Cricetulus griseus: one gene and its partners. The protein of the gene in region 1 interacts with the protein of each later gene in a pairwise test. Links are inferred from orthologs where the notes say so. Each region holds a gene or a part of one and is shown in the gene's direction. Other genes may lie near its edges.

Region 1 (3,570 bases):
CAGTGCTATAATGAAAGTGAACACTAAGCAGAATACAAGCACAGTAGGAAACATTGAGGATCTGAGAGCACATCCCAGATGGGATACCCGAATCTCATTTAGAGGATGGAACTAATATGGCGAGAAGATAGTTTTCAAATAGGTGAAGTTGTGTGGCATTGAGAGGAAGCATAGAAGTTAAGGGACTGTCTGTCAGTGCACAAAGAAGTAAAGGCATTCATTTATTGTCAGAGGAATATCTGAGAACTGGGTTCTAAGATGAGTGTAAGGAAGTAATATTAAACACGCTTAAAAGATCACTGGTAGAGAGCTAAAATTTTTTTTAGTTGTATTTGGGAGGTCTTGCAAGTTAAGAATACTCATGAATAATTTATTAAAAATAATGTTCAGAAATTATTCATGTTAGCACCGCTTATTTTTTGAACTATTTGGTAAAGCCATAAATTTGGTTATTTGTATAAGTGTAATAATAGACTTTATTAATTAATTATTAATAATGGTAACCAAATCAAATATGAAGATTTGGAAACTAAGAGCTAGTTATATATTGCTGTTACTGCCCCTTTGCTACTTGTGGCAAATGAGAGGGTGCTGCTAGGTGACTGCAGCTGTGTTCTTCTAATGAGGTCTCTATTGCCTGGCCCTCCCTCCAGTGCTTCATTTGCAATTAAAAGTGAAATGTCAAACAAAAGAAGAAAATGAAACTCAAGTGGGATATATGATTGTTGAGACATAAAAGGATTTGGGATCAAAAGAATGTATCCTTTCCCTTAATTACCTTGTACATTATAAACTCCCTATGTATTTTCTCTTAATACAAAGTTGTTTTTTTTTTTTTTTTTTTTTTTTTTTAATACTGGAAGCAAATGTAAAGGACTCTCAAGGCCTGCAAAGTTTCCAAGGTCCTCTTGAGGGTTGGGGCTTGACTACCAATTTAGACTACATTCAGATTTTATAGATAACTATGATGACTTAGTAGACATAAGTGAGTATAGTTGACACCAAAAAAAAAAAAAAGAGTATCATAATTTACTTGAAAGAACTAAGTAAAAGAATATGCTTACATTGGTATTTTGACCAGACTACATAATATGGTCATAATTTAAACTATCTTCATAATCCCAGCATGTTGAACATCACTACAAAGCCTTTTTAACTTTATGCAACTTAGTTGCATACCAGCTCCCCAAAACTTTGATTTCCATGACTATTGAAACTCTGAACAGAATGATTTTTTTTAATGTTTCACACACGCAACTGATTTCTTTTCTAGCACTTTGTCACTTGACTCCAAGAAAAATACATTCTTGCATAAAAAGGTATATATGGCTATTTATATGACTTAGATAATTATACTGTATGTAACACTTTACATATTTGAAACATTCATTAGTAAAGTAACATGGCTCCTACTGAGGTCAAATTATATACATCATCAATTTAAAATTATTCCATCATAAGATAAAATATTGTGGGAAAATGTGTTTCTACCATCTCTTAAATGTTTTATCAGGAATTGATTCAAATAAAAAACAAGTTGGAGAACTTTGTTGCAGTTTTTAATTTTCTCATAAAAGAAAATTGGATTGTTATTGTATTAAGAACTGTAAACTGGGTGGTGGTGGCACACGCCTTTAATTCCAGCACTCGGGAGGCAGAGGCAGGTAGATCTCTTCGACTTTGAGACCAGCCTGGTCTACAAGAGCTAGTTCCAGGACAGCCTCCAAAGCCACAGAGAAAGCCTGCCTCGAACTCCCCCCCAAAAAAACAAACAAACAAACAAAAAAAAAAACAGGGTTTGCCCAAAGTTGTCTTCCTAGGCTTTACTGGTCAATACTATCATTTATAAATACTGCCAGCCAGATGACAGGTTTAAAAACTCCTTTATGATAAGGCATTGGCTGCAGAAGCAGTAAATACAGTCATTGTCATGGTATCCACAGATACACAAGTGTTTTTGGTTTTTTGAGACAGGGTTTCTCTGTGGCTTTGGAGGCAGTCCTGGAACTAGCTCTTGTAGACCAGGCTGGTCTCGAACTCAGAGAGACCCGCTTGCCTCTGCCTCCCGAGTGCTGGAATTAAAGGCATGCACCACCAATGCCCGGCTGATACACAAGTGTTTTATATTAAATGACTTACAATTACCACATTACCTAGGTATCTCCTATACATTTTAAATCATCTCTAGCTTGCCTATAGTGCCTTTACATTTTACCAGCTAAAGAATAATGATCAAAAAACTTTTGTTAGGTATGAATGTAACTTTTTTTCCCAAATATTCTCCTATCTGTAATTGAATTGAGGCCATGGATATCATGAACCATCTGTACCTCTTTTAAGTGATTTTTTTTTTTTTCTTGCATGCTATCTCAGTTTTTACCTGCTCAGGCTCATTTTCAGGTGCCTGGGATGATTAGACAATCCATAATTCTTACCAATCAAGTAAAAGAAGGAAAGAGAACTCCGAGCTTCTCTCCCAATTAACAGGTAGTTTGCTGTGGTCAGAATTAAATGTAGATTTTGCAGCAACACACATTAGTATTTTTATTATAAGTAACTGATTGAAAGTTTGTGAAATGAGTAAGTGCCCCATTTGAGTGACAGTTAATTAGTACAAGAGACCATTTTTGTTTCTGTATATGATAGAGTAAATTGATTTGATTCACTCTTCATTTTAACATTATGTATTTATGTTATTACTTTTACTTTAAGATGTATTTTGTTCCTTGCAGTGTTTGAGCAACACACCTCCACTTACTGAATATTTCCTCAATGACAAGTACCAAGAAGAGCTGAATTTTGACAATCCCTTAGGAATGAGAGGTGAAATAGCTAAGTCATATGCTGAATTGATCAAGCAGATGTGGTCTGGAAAGTTCAGCTATGTCACTCCTAGAGCATTTAAGGTGAGTATGATAAGCTTACTCTCAGCAAGTGTGCTCTTGTCCCCAGAAAATCAAGAAAGAAAAGAAAAAAATACTAAGGTGAAAGGGATGATGTCCCATTACAGTGTCATCCCATCCATGTGACACAGGGCACAGGACAGGGTGGGTGATTAGGGCTCTTTGTTTGTTTTTGTCTTTCTTTCTTTCCTTTCTTTCTTTCTTTCTTTCTTTCTTTCTTTCTTTCTTTTTTTCTTTCGGGGGTTTGAGACACCTGTGTAGCTTTGGAGCCTATCCTGGCACTTGCTCTGGAGACCAGGCTGGCCTCGAACTCAAAGAGATCCACCTGCCTCTGCCTCTTGAGTGCTGGGATTAAAGGCGTGCGCCACCAACGCCTGGAGTGGTTTTGTTTTCTTAATGTCTGGAAATGGGCTGGAGAGGGATGGCTCCAGTTAAGAGCACTTCCTACCTCTCCAGAGGACTTGAGTTTCCAGTACCCAGGTTGCCAGCACCAACATCAGGTGGCTCAGAAATGCCTCTGTGACTCAAGCTGGAGAGGATCTGATGCCCTCTTCTGACTTCCATGGGCATCTGCACTCAGGTGCAAACTCACACTTGTGTACACATAATTAAAACTAAATCTTTATGAAAAAGGTTACTAATAAAGGGAATAATAAGGGGAACAAAA
Region 2 (3,570 bases), on another chromosome or scaffold:
CAGGTGCTCAGTGACCCCAACCTGGTCATTCGCAAGCGGAAAGTGGGTGAGGGCTGCTCCCACACCAGCAGGGCTGTCCCTAGTCCCTCATGGTCCCCACAGACACCTGGCCAGAGGCTGCTACATGCTGTGCCGCCCTGGCCTTGTCCCCACCCAGCTCCATCTACACCTAGGATGTATGCATGAGAGCCTTCTCTCCTCTCATCATGCCTACCTGCTGCTACCCAGAGGAGGGAAGGGGAGTTCCTACCATTGTTCAGGCTGTGAGAGAGCCACAAGAGTGAAGGCAGCACCTTACTCTGCCTTGACTGAGACCTGCAGGGTGCCTTATGCAATGCCCCAGATCCCTCTGCTAGGAAGGGCCCAGAAACGAGGGCTGGGGGTCCACAGCTTGGCACCTCTACTCAGAGCAGTCATCCACTGTCCCACCTGGGCCCCAGAGCTTCTACATACCCAGACCTTGGCCTCAACTCTGTCTCTTCCATCTGTAGGTGTGCTACTGGACATCCTGCAGCGGACAGGCCACAAGGGCTATGTAGCCTTCCTTGAGAGTCTGGAACTCTATTACCCTCAATTATACAGGAAAGTCACGGGCAAGGAGCCAGCACGAGTCTTCTCCATGATCATTGGTGAGAGGCACAGAGTGGGTGGGTGCTGTGAGTGCAGTCAGGTGCCACCAGGTCCTGGCTTCTGTGATTACATCAGAATGAATGAGTCTAATACAAGCCCTGTGGTACATATCAGAGTAGTGGTACCAGTGACTACTCTCAGGTGCTCAGGGTCAGGGCTCCCTTCTCTGCCTTTCCTACTCCCATCCTAAGAACATCCACTAAGAAGAGGTGACCCCTCTATAAAGTATTAATTCCATGGGGCCCAGTTACCACCTAAGGACAGAATCCCACAGTTTCTAGAGGGGACAGAGGTGAACTGATGGAATAGCCACATCCCTATCAGTCCACATCCCTATCATTCATCTCATAAAGATCTTTATAAAGGTAGACAGAGGGCCAGGCATGCTGGCACACACCTTTAATCCCAGGGAGAAGCAGGCAGATCTCTGAGTTAGAGGCCACCCTGGACTACATAGTGAGACCTTTTCTCAGGGAAAAGAGAGAGAAAAAGAGAGAGAGAGAGAGAGAGAGAGAGAGAGGGCCAGCTGGAGTCCTGGCATGTGATAAGTTAGAATCTCAGTCAGTTCATATGTGAGGGGCAGCAAGGCAGACTGGGCCTGGTGAACAGTCCCCAGGGAGCCTTCCCACCAGCTTTCTCTCTGTGGAAGACCAGTAGTGCTCCCTCTGCCCCTCAAACTGCTGGTCTTCAAGCACATACTTCTGGACAAGGACAAGCACAGGGTCTGCAGGTGACAGCCACAGGCTCCATCTGACACTGCATGGTCCCCAGATGCATCAGGGGAGTCAGGCCTGACGCAGCTGCTGATGACAGAGGTCATGAAGCTGCAGAAGAAGGTTCAGGACCTGACGGCACTTCTGAGCTCCAAGGACGACTTCATCAAGGAGCTTCGGGTAAAGGACAGCCTCCTGCGCAAGCACCAGGAGCGTGTGCAGCGGCTCAAGGAAGAGTGTGAGCTGAGCAGCCGAGAGCTGAAGCGCTGCAAGGATGAGAACTATGACCTGGCCATGCGCCTAGCACATCTGAGTGAAGAGAAGGGCTCAGCGCTCATGCGGAACCGGGACCTGCAGCTCGAGGTGATCGCTTGTCCCACCAGCAGGGGGGTGGGGGTGGGGGTGTCTGGAGGAGGCTGCTGCTGACTGGACCACCCACAGGTGGACCGGCTCAGGCACAGCCTCATGAAGGCAGAGGATGATTGCAAGGTGGAGCGAAAACACACCCTGAAGCTCAGGCATGCTATGGAGCAGCGGCCCAGCCAGGAGCTGATGTGGGAGCTGCAGCAGGAAAAGGACTTGCTGCAGGCCCGGGTGCAGGAGCTGGAGGTCTCTGTACAGGTAGGGCTACCAGCAGTGCACACCAGGGGCACACCAGATGGTACAACTGCAATGGCCAGGCTTGTTGCCCTTTGCCACCTCCAGGAGGGCAAGCTAGACAGGAACAGCCCCTACATTCAAGTGCTGCAGGAGGACTGGCGCCAGGCACTGCAGGAGCACCAAGAGCAGGCCAACACCATCTTCTCCCTACGCAAGGACCTCCGCCAAGCTGAGGCCCTCCGGACCCGGGTGAGAGGGCAGGGCAGGCAAGCAGTACCCACTGGGTATCTGGAAGGCAGGGTCTGGAATGTAACTCACTGTCTCCCCTTCACCAATTCCTGGTGCACAGTGGTGTCATGTCCACAGCTAGGGTCATCCTTTCAGTTTACCGTGTGATCGGTGGTGGCTGAGGCCATGGTCTCAGACCAGGCAAGCCTGCTGTGGCCTGGGACTGCAGTGCCCTTCCCATCATCCCGGCTAGCCCGATCTTGAGTGCTCTGAAGGTGTTGCCTGAGTCCAGCCCAGGGCCAGGTGAGCAGTGGAGAGTGGGTGAGGCTGAGTGGTGCTTCCTGTAGTGCGTGGAGGAAAGGGAGATGTTCGAGCTGCAGTGCCTGGCCTTGCGTAAGGATGCCAAGATGTACAAGGACCGGATCGAGGCTATCCTGCAGCAGATGGAGGAAGTCTCCATTGAGCGGGACCAGGTAGGTGTTGCATTTGTGTTCAGAAGATGAGAATGAGAGGAGTGTTTGGGTGCCGGTGTAGAGGCTTTTGAAGCTGTGGTCAACTCATTACTTTATCTATCTATCTATCTATCTATCTATCTATCTATCTATCTATCTATCTATCTACCTACCTACCTATCTATTTATGCCTGAGGTAACTTGGCAATGTTGAAAGATAGAACCTGGAGCCTCTTGTACAAAGACAGGAACATCTGCCTCTCTCACAGGAAGGGCCAGTGTAGCAGGGGAGTCCCAGTGGCGCCTGTGCTGGTTAGGGGAAGGTCAGGGTTGGAAACTTCAATAGAGGAGAGGAAGTTGCTAGCTACACAGGTGGGAGGTGGAGGCCACAGTATTGGGTAGAAGAGCTGGTGGTAACCCCCTGGAATAGGCAGCAGTAGTAGTAGTGGTAGCTCATACCTGTACTCCCAGCATTTGGAGGTTGAAACAAAATAACTACTGTGAATTCAAGGCCAGCCTGGATTACACAGTGAGTTCCAAGCCAGTTTGGGCTACAATGGTAGACCCGGTCTCAAAAAACCAAAAACAACAAAAAGTAGTAGCAACTGAGCCAACTTTGGTGGCACATGCCTGTAATTCCAGGCTTTGGAGGTAGAGTCAGGAGGATCAAAAATTCAAGGCCATCCTCAGATACATAGTAAATTTTAGGCCAGTTTGGGAAATGAATGAAACTGTCTCCCAGGAAACAAAAGAAGAAGCATGGTATTCATTTTAAGAACAGCCATCAATCATGTTCTTTGTTTGTTTTTTGTTTTTTTGAGACAGTGTTTCTCTGTGTCATCTTGGCTGTCCTGGAACTCACTTTGTAGACCAGGCTGGCCTCCAACTCACAGAGATCCGCCTGCCTCTGCCTCCCCAGTGGTGGGATTAAAGGCGTGTGCCACCAC
Region 3 (3,420 bases), on another chromosome or scaffold:
TCAGTGGTAGAGCCCCTGCCTAGAATCCCCCAGTGAAAGGGCTGGGGAGTGTGGCTTGGTGGTAGGGTACTTGCCTCTAACTCGTATGAGGCCCTAGGTTCCACCCCTAATACCACACTTAAACACACACACACACACACACACACACACACACACACACACACACCCCTACACCTGGGGGGGGGTGCAGAAGAGGCATGACATCTCCTGCTGAGGAGACCCATACCATGGGGGACAGGAAAGAACCCTGGAGGCTCTCCTGGCACCCTGCTCCTACCCCCACAGCTCCGCCTGCTCCTTCCCCAACAGCCGCCTCAGAGTCAGCCCCTCTGACATTTCGGGAAAAACATTGCGAGTCGAGAGCAGAAGGGAGAAATGAAAGGATTTTCTCGAGAAAAGGTCAGAGTGGTTTCTCTTATTTTTGTTTAAAGATGGTTTGTGTTGAACTATGACAAGGCCAAATGTAATAAGGGCCAAGGGAACAGGCTGGGGGTCGACCCACGTGAGAAAACAGGAGGAAAACCCAGGTAACAAGCAAGTCAGAAGACAGCTCAGGGAGTCATTGAGACAAAACCTCACATGCCCTGATGCCCCACGAGGGATGGAGGTGGAGGGGTTGGGGGCACAGGCTGCTCCCCAGGTCCTCTCTTGCTCATGCTAGGGAGTCAGTGGTAGTCATGGGCTGCCAGGACCCATGGGAGCAGACTGACCATCTGTATGGCTCCCAGGAACAGAGGCACCTGCAGAGCCACTGGCAGGAAGGGACCTTTCAGAACAAATTCATCCCTGCCTTGGCTTCACGGTGGCCATGCATTTGGGTTCTCATTAGCACATCCATTGTGCATTCATTGGCACAGGCTAATCCACAGAGAAACACTATCACTGGAGCAGGCACTCCCTTCCCCTCTCATCCTGGTCCACACCAATCTGCCTCCTACCTCTACATATTGTCTTGTATGGATGCCTCATGTCAATGGCATCACTATGTTCAAAGTTGACCCTGAGCTATCATGCATCATGTCTTGTCCCCTTGTTCCTTTTCAGGGCTAAAGAGTGTGTGTGTGTGTGTGTGTGTGTGTGTGTGTGTGTGTGTGTGTGTGTGTGTGTGTACATATGAATCATATCACTGTGGACATCCCATGTACATCTTACTGTGGATACATGTATTTACATGTTCTGAGGGCACAATGGAGGGGTACCAATGGGTCATAACGGAGGAATTGCCAGGCTTTTCCATAATACCTGAGCTTCCTGCAATGATGCCCAGGTCTTCTGATTTCTCCTCCTCCTCATCCACCTTTCCTAATGGGCTCTGGCCTGACTGACATCTGCCCTGATGACCCCATAAGCCCACCAACTTTATCAGACCCTCCTGCTTCTTCTTTGGAGAACCATCCAGTCTGACCTATACCCGCCTCCCAGCCGGGTCCTGTTTCTGTGGCTGAGTGAGGAGGGGCTCTAGGTTTGCTAGATACCAGTTCTACATCAGACCTAAGGTTTGGGAGCAATCCAGAGTGGGTTTGTGACCACTTCTTGCCTGGCCTTGTAAACAGGAATTTTTCTTCCCTAGTCAAGCAGGCCTTCTACATCTTTGGCCACTGCAGCATTCCTGGGCCAGTTGGCAGGGGAGGCCCCAGGATAAGTGATAGCAGGGAAATTCAGGATTACAAGGAGGTTCACTCAGGGCCTCTGTCTGCTTCTCCCAGCCTAGCCTACATGGTAAGAGGGCAGCCTGGCCAAACAGCCAAGTAACCTGGGCATGCCCCGGGAGGCCAAGCTGTGTACCATTGCAGCTCTGAGCCTACCTGCAAGCTCCACTCCCACCTCCCCATCACAGCCATCACAGAGTCACTATGCCCTCCCTTCAGTTATAAGTGACATAAGAAAACAGGGAAAGAACCAGTCTGGGCTCCAGAGTCTACCCTTCCAGGACCAAACCTCCATCAGCCAATACCCAGCATCCTGGCTTCACAGTCTGGAAGATGCTTGGGGCTTACTCTGCCTCCCCAAGTCAAGCATGTGACAGCTGAAGAGCTGGTGACTGGAATTGAAGCCCCCAAGAATCCAAATCCTATTGAGGCAAGACTGCCTGCCTGCTGTGAATCTCAGCTCCCTCTGCGGATGACCTCGTGCTTTGCCTCAATGGGCATCGGGCAGAAGCAGGCCAGTGCCCGTCTAGCCCAGGCTGCTCTTGCGATGGCAGGAGTACAGCCTTCCTGGGCCCTCACCCCCTCCACTGGGAGCATGTGAGGACAAAGGGCAGACACCTGCCCAACAATCAGCACTGATGCCCCTCTCTTTTCTCCTCCTGCAGGCCACAGGACCCTCAGGCTCCAAGATGCAGCTGTTGGAGACGGAGTTCTCCCGTTCAGTGCCTGAGCTCATTGAGCTGCACTTGCTGCAGCAAGATAGCATTCCTGCCTTCCTCAGCGCCCTCACCATCGAGCTGTTCAGCCGCCAGACCTCCATCTAGCCTCCATCTGCCCGCAGGCATCCTCACTCTACAGCCACTGGACCTCTGCCTAGCCTATACCCCACATTGTCCCCAGACCCCTTTGCCACCTATAGCTGCATCGTGCCACAAACACTAGCCAGAGCCTCTGCTCAAGCAGCCACTCTGTCTCTCCGTCTCTAGTCCCTAGCTAGCAGGAGCAGCTGCTAGGGACGACCAAGCCAGATCACAGTCTACTACTCTCCTCTCTTGTCCCAAACACTGGGCCTCTCCTCTTCCTCCTGTTTTAGAGCCCCTCCCTGCACTGTCCCAAGGTGGCCCCACACCAGCCTCCAGTCCCATATGCTGGTTGCTTGAGGCCACTTTGGTGGCCAGGCTGTGGCCTGAGACTGCAGTCTCAGCCTAATGAAATAAAGTGTTATCTTTATCGTTTTCCCCGTCTGTTTCCAAGGCACCAAGCTACCTCACTGCCCAGACTCCACCACACTGCCTGCCATGCCTGGACACCTGGGCAGGCCTCACCACACCACCTGCCATGTTCCACTGGACACCTGGGCAGGTCTCTCCGCACAGCCTGCCATGCTTGGACAACTAGGTGTGGACTAAGAGGTGGATGGGGTCAGGGAAGCAATTGTGTCCCATCCCACCAGAGCCTGGGTATCAACTCCCTGCCTTGGTTACTCCACCTGCCTCTCCCCTGCCTGAGGTCTCTAGGTCCAGAGGCTAATTATAGCAGCATCTTGCCTATGAACAGTAGTCACTCCCTTTGGGCATGGTTCCAGGTGTGTATGTGACCCATTTAAGGTAGAGGATGGAAGCCCCTTTTGGGGCTTCAGAGAGGCAGGGTCTGCCTCCTTCGAGCAGAGATACCGCCATGATCATCCCGGTGCGCTGCTTACAGATGGGAAGCCCACCTGGGACTGCTGCAGGCCGGGTACACCGAGGGGATGCTCTGCCTGCGCTGGGCC
Region 4 (3,097 bases), on another chromosome or scaffold:
TGTCAAGAGAATGTAAGTGTAGTACAGACACACAGGTAAGGTTTCCTCACACGTCAGAGGAAGTACCTGGGTTGCTGTGGGTCATTTCCTCACATAGTGAGGTTCAGGGTCACCCCTCACCTTTGAGTTTGCATGAATGCCCTCACTACAGGCAAAGAGTTGCTGGCCCCACCCAGGCTTACCTGTGATCTTCTTTCTGCAGTACATATTACTCTGGATAGAAACACAGCCAACCCATGGCTCATTATCCCAAAGGATCGGAGACAAGCAAGGATTGGAGATAGCCGTCAGAATGTGTCTGAAAATGATGAGAGATTTAATAATTACCCCATGGTGCTAGGTGCCCAAAGATTCACCTCTGGGAAGATGTACTGGGAGGTAGATGTGACCAGGAAGGAGGCCTGGGATCTGGGGGTTTGCAGAGAATCTGTGCGGAGAAAGGGACATTTTTCACTCAGTCCTGAGAATGGCTTCTGGACCATTTGGCTGTGGAAAAAAGACAACTATGAGGCTGGCACCAACCCCCAGACCACCCTCCACCTTCAGGTGCCTCCATGCCAAGTTGGGATCTTTGTAGACTATGAAGCTGGCATTGTCTCCTTCTATAACATCACTGACCATGGCTCCCTCATCTACACCTTCTCGGAGTGTGCCTTTGCTGGACCTCTACGGCCCTTCTTTAATGTTGGTTTCAATGATGATGGAGGCAATGCAGCACCTCTAAAGCTCTGCCCACTAAAGATGTGATGATCAGGAGCTGGTGCATATTGACAGCACCTTCTGGACACTTGTTACCTCCTCCTTGTCATGATCAAGGTCCAATGACTACTGGAGGCCATTTCTGGCTACTGTTACTCACTTCCTGTTGGTGTTCCTCAGCCATGCTCTGCCTTTTTTGACCATCCAGTTGGAACCATCCCACACCTTCATCTCTTTAGAGGAGTCAGGGCCCCAGAATGAAGGCATTAGATGGAGATAACAGAAAGTCAATGTCAACTGACTTTCAACATCAATATTCCTAACATAGGTTCCTTAATGATTCCCTCCAGTGAAACAACTCCTCACAATGGACCAAATTCATCTAGCTCAGTCAAAATCACATTTCTGCCTCCTTTGTATGGCCTATTTTGTTTTCTTTTCTATATTTCTTGGCTATTACCTTTGGCCAGGTAGCTATTCCTGTATCTTCCATGGCTTGCAGAAGGGCTTCCTAGGAAACTATGTCTCAGTCCTTGTTGATAAAGCCCAGAATATGTGTCTTTAACATTGTATATCTTTTGGTTTGGGTTGGTTTTTCTGGTTGTTGTTGTTGTTGTTGTTGTTGCTGGAGGGTTTTTTTTAATTTGTTGTTTTGTTTGTTTGTTTGTTTTCCCTCCCCGGAATATCTTCCAGGGTAGTGAAAGTGGTTCAGGAAACAGCTAAATATAACAATGACAGTATACTTGATGTCCCCAGTGACAGCCAAAGTCTAGGTGCCATGCTAGCCTGGTGAGTCTTTGCAGTTGAATCTCACAAGAAAGGGAAAGTTGTGCTCAGAGGCTGACAGTTGTCAGTTTATAGGTGTGCTCTTCCCTGGTTCCATTGCCTTGAAGAAAGTGCAATTAGTAGCTGAGCTGGAACACAAATATATCCAGAGCTTCAAAAATGCTGTAAGCAGATTTAAGAAGGATGGATAAATGCACAATAAAGAAAATCCAGGATGATTTTTTTTAATTCAGTCAGTAATTCCAGAGGTTTTTCTATACACTATGGATGGAAACAATTATGACCCAGCAGCTGCTAGAAACAAGAAACTGCAGCTGCTCCCTTGTTGTTCCAACTCAAACTGAAGAAGCCTCTCAGCTCTCGCAGTGCAGCCTCACAGAGACCCATTTCAACACAGAACTTTGATGACTAAAGGTTAACCTGGGGTGGTGTGAAAGGATCCTGGTGTGGGCAACTAGGATGAAAAATGTCCAGTTGGTGCAACAGGTCAGAATATTGAAGCTTACTACTGAAGACTTAACAGGAGAGAAATGCCTACCTCAGAAAGCTGTAAGAATCATTGAGCTAGCTGGCTAGGAGGATGGGCAGAGGACTATAGACATTCTCTAGCCTCAAGTGAAGACTTTGTGGTACCCAATGAAGAGGCCTGGGAGTAGAACAAGAAGAGTTTCAACAGCTGGGCCAGAAGAAAACATCTGTATTTCTTTCATTCCAAAACATGTTTAACAGTGCTGTTCCTTTTTATTATCCATTCTTAAGAAAGACACTTATGGGTTTTGTTTGTATTAAAAGAACATTTTGCACCCCCTCCTTTGTCAATAACTTTGAGATCAAACTTTGACCTTGTAGCCAAGCAGTGGCTTGTCCATTCAGGGGAACAAAGAGGCTGACCATGGGGTTCACCGTGTGACTGCTGGTCACATGGTTTTGTCGAAAAGATGTTTTTGTGGAATGCATGCAGGTGGAGACACCAGTAGTGAGATGTAAACACTGAATTGAACTTTGAGCTAGTGTGAAGTTTGGTAAAAAATGTTTTGATAAGTAAATAAATTCCTTGGGAATATTTAAAATACACTTCTGTGTTTCAAGATATAAAGCAAAACCTGACAGATATTTCATTTTCTCATAGATTTTTGTAAGCATACAGTAAGTTTCATTATTACATTTTTGTGCAAACATATCAATGCGCTCTGCTCACATCCACCTCCAAGACCACTCCTCCAGCATCATCCTCTGTCTTTCCCACAAATAGTCCTCCCTTAACTTTCATGGGTTTTCATTGTTGTTGCATCTGTTTTATGTGTAAGAGTGAGAAAGAAAGAGTGAGCTTTCCTCCCTGCTCTTTCCTCCCCTCTACAGCTCTTACGCCCATGGATTCAGGTTGGCCTTCCAACAACACCCTGATCACAATGGAGTCCATTTAAGAGCATTTTAGATGTTTGGGGTTGTCTTGATGTAAGTCACTTTCTCTGACACCCAGAATGAGGCTATGTCCTCTCTTGGACTTCGGATTCTGCCTTGGGATTCTTCCAGTGGAAGAGAGTGTTTAATAGCTGCTCTGGGCCAGGCCATGGAGTTGAAGAGCCCACAGTTCTAGCCAGGACTTTCAGCC

The links.
Region 2: the proteins of Usp15 (region 1) and Card9 interact in binary tests that used the Homo sapiens proteins (3 or more experiments, as listed by UniProt). The two-hybrid records come from large-scale screens. The link is inferred for Cricetulus griseus from reciprocal best matches to the Homo sapiens genes USP15 and CARD9.
Region 3: the proteins of Usp15 (region 1) and Mad1l1 interact in binary tests that used the Homo sapiens proteins (3 or more experiments, as listed by UniProt). The two-hybrid records come from large-scale screens. The link is inferred for Cricetulus griseus from reciprocal best matches to the Homo sapiens genes USP15 and MAD1L1.
Region 4: the proteins of Usp15 (region 1) and Trim21 interact in binary tests that used the Homo sapiens proteins (3 or more experiments, as listed by UniProt). The link is inferred for Cricetulus griseus from reciprocal best matches to the Homo sapiens genes USP15 and TRIM21.

What each region holds. Positions count from the first base shown.
Region 1 is NW_023276806.1:134,020,052-134,023,621, forward strand, and holds part of Usp15 (ubiquitin carboxyl-terminal hydrolase 15), read left to right. Parts: intron 1-2,732; coding exon 2,733-2,906; intron 2,907-3,570. UniProt on the Homo sapiens protein: Hydrolase that removes conjugated ubiquitin from target proteins and regulates various pathways such as the TGF-beta receptor signaling, NF-kappa-B and RNF41/NRDP1-PRKN pathways.
Region 2 is NC_048599.1:137,744,255-137,747,824, reverse strand, and holds part of Card9 (caspase recruitment domain-containing protein 9), read left to right. Parts: coding exon 1-46; intron 47-491; coding exon 492-629; intron 630-825; exon of another isoform or gene 826-1,401; coding exon 1,402-1,706; intron 1,707-1,784; coding exon 1,785-1,964; coding exon of another isoform or gene 1,965-2,048; coding exon 2,049-2,192; intron 2,193-2,518; coding exon 2,519-2,644; intron 2,645-3,570. UniProt on the Homo sapiens protein: Adapter protein that plays a key role in innate immune response against fungi by forming signaling complexes downstream of C-type lectin receptors.
Region 3 is NC_048597.1:76,648,358-76,651,777, reverse strand, and holds the end of Mad1l1 (mitotic spindle assembly checkpoint protein MAD1), read left to right. Parts: intron 1-2,314; coding exon 2,315-2,473; 3' UTR 2,474-2,887; downstream 2,888-3,420. UniProt on the Homo sapiens protein: Component of the spindle-assembly checkpoint that prevents the onset of anaphase until all chromosomes are properly aligned at the metaphase plate.
Region 4 is NC_048596.1:96,827,377-96,830,473, forward strand, and holds the end of Trim21 (E3 ubiquitin-protein ligase TRIM21), read left to right. Parts: intron 1-202; coding exon 203-747; 3' UTR 748-2,559; downstream 2,560-3,097. UniProt on the Homo sapiens protein: E3 ubiquitin-protein ligase whose activity is dependent on E2 enzymes, UBE2D1, UBE2D2, UBE2E1 and UBE2E2.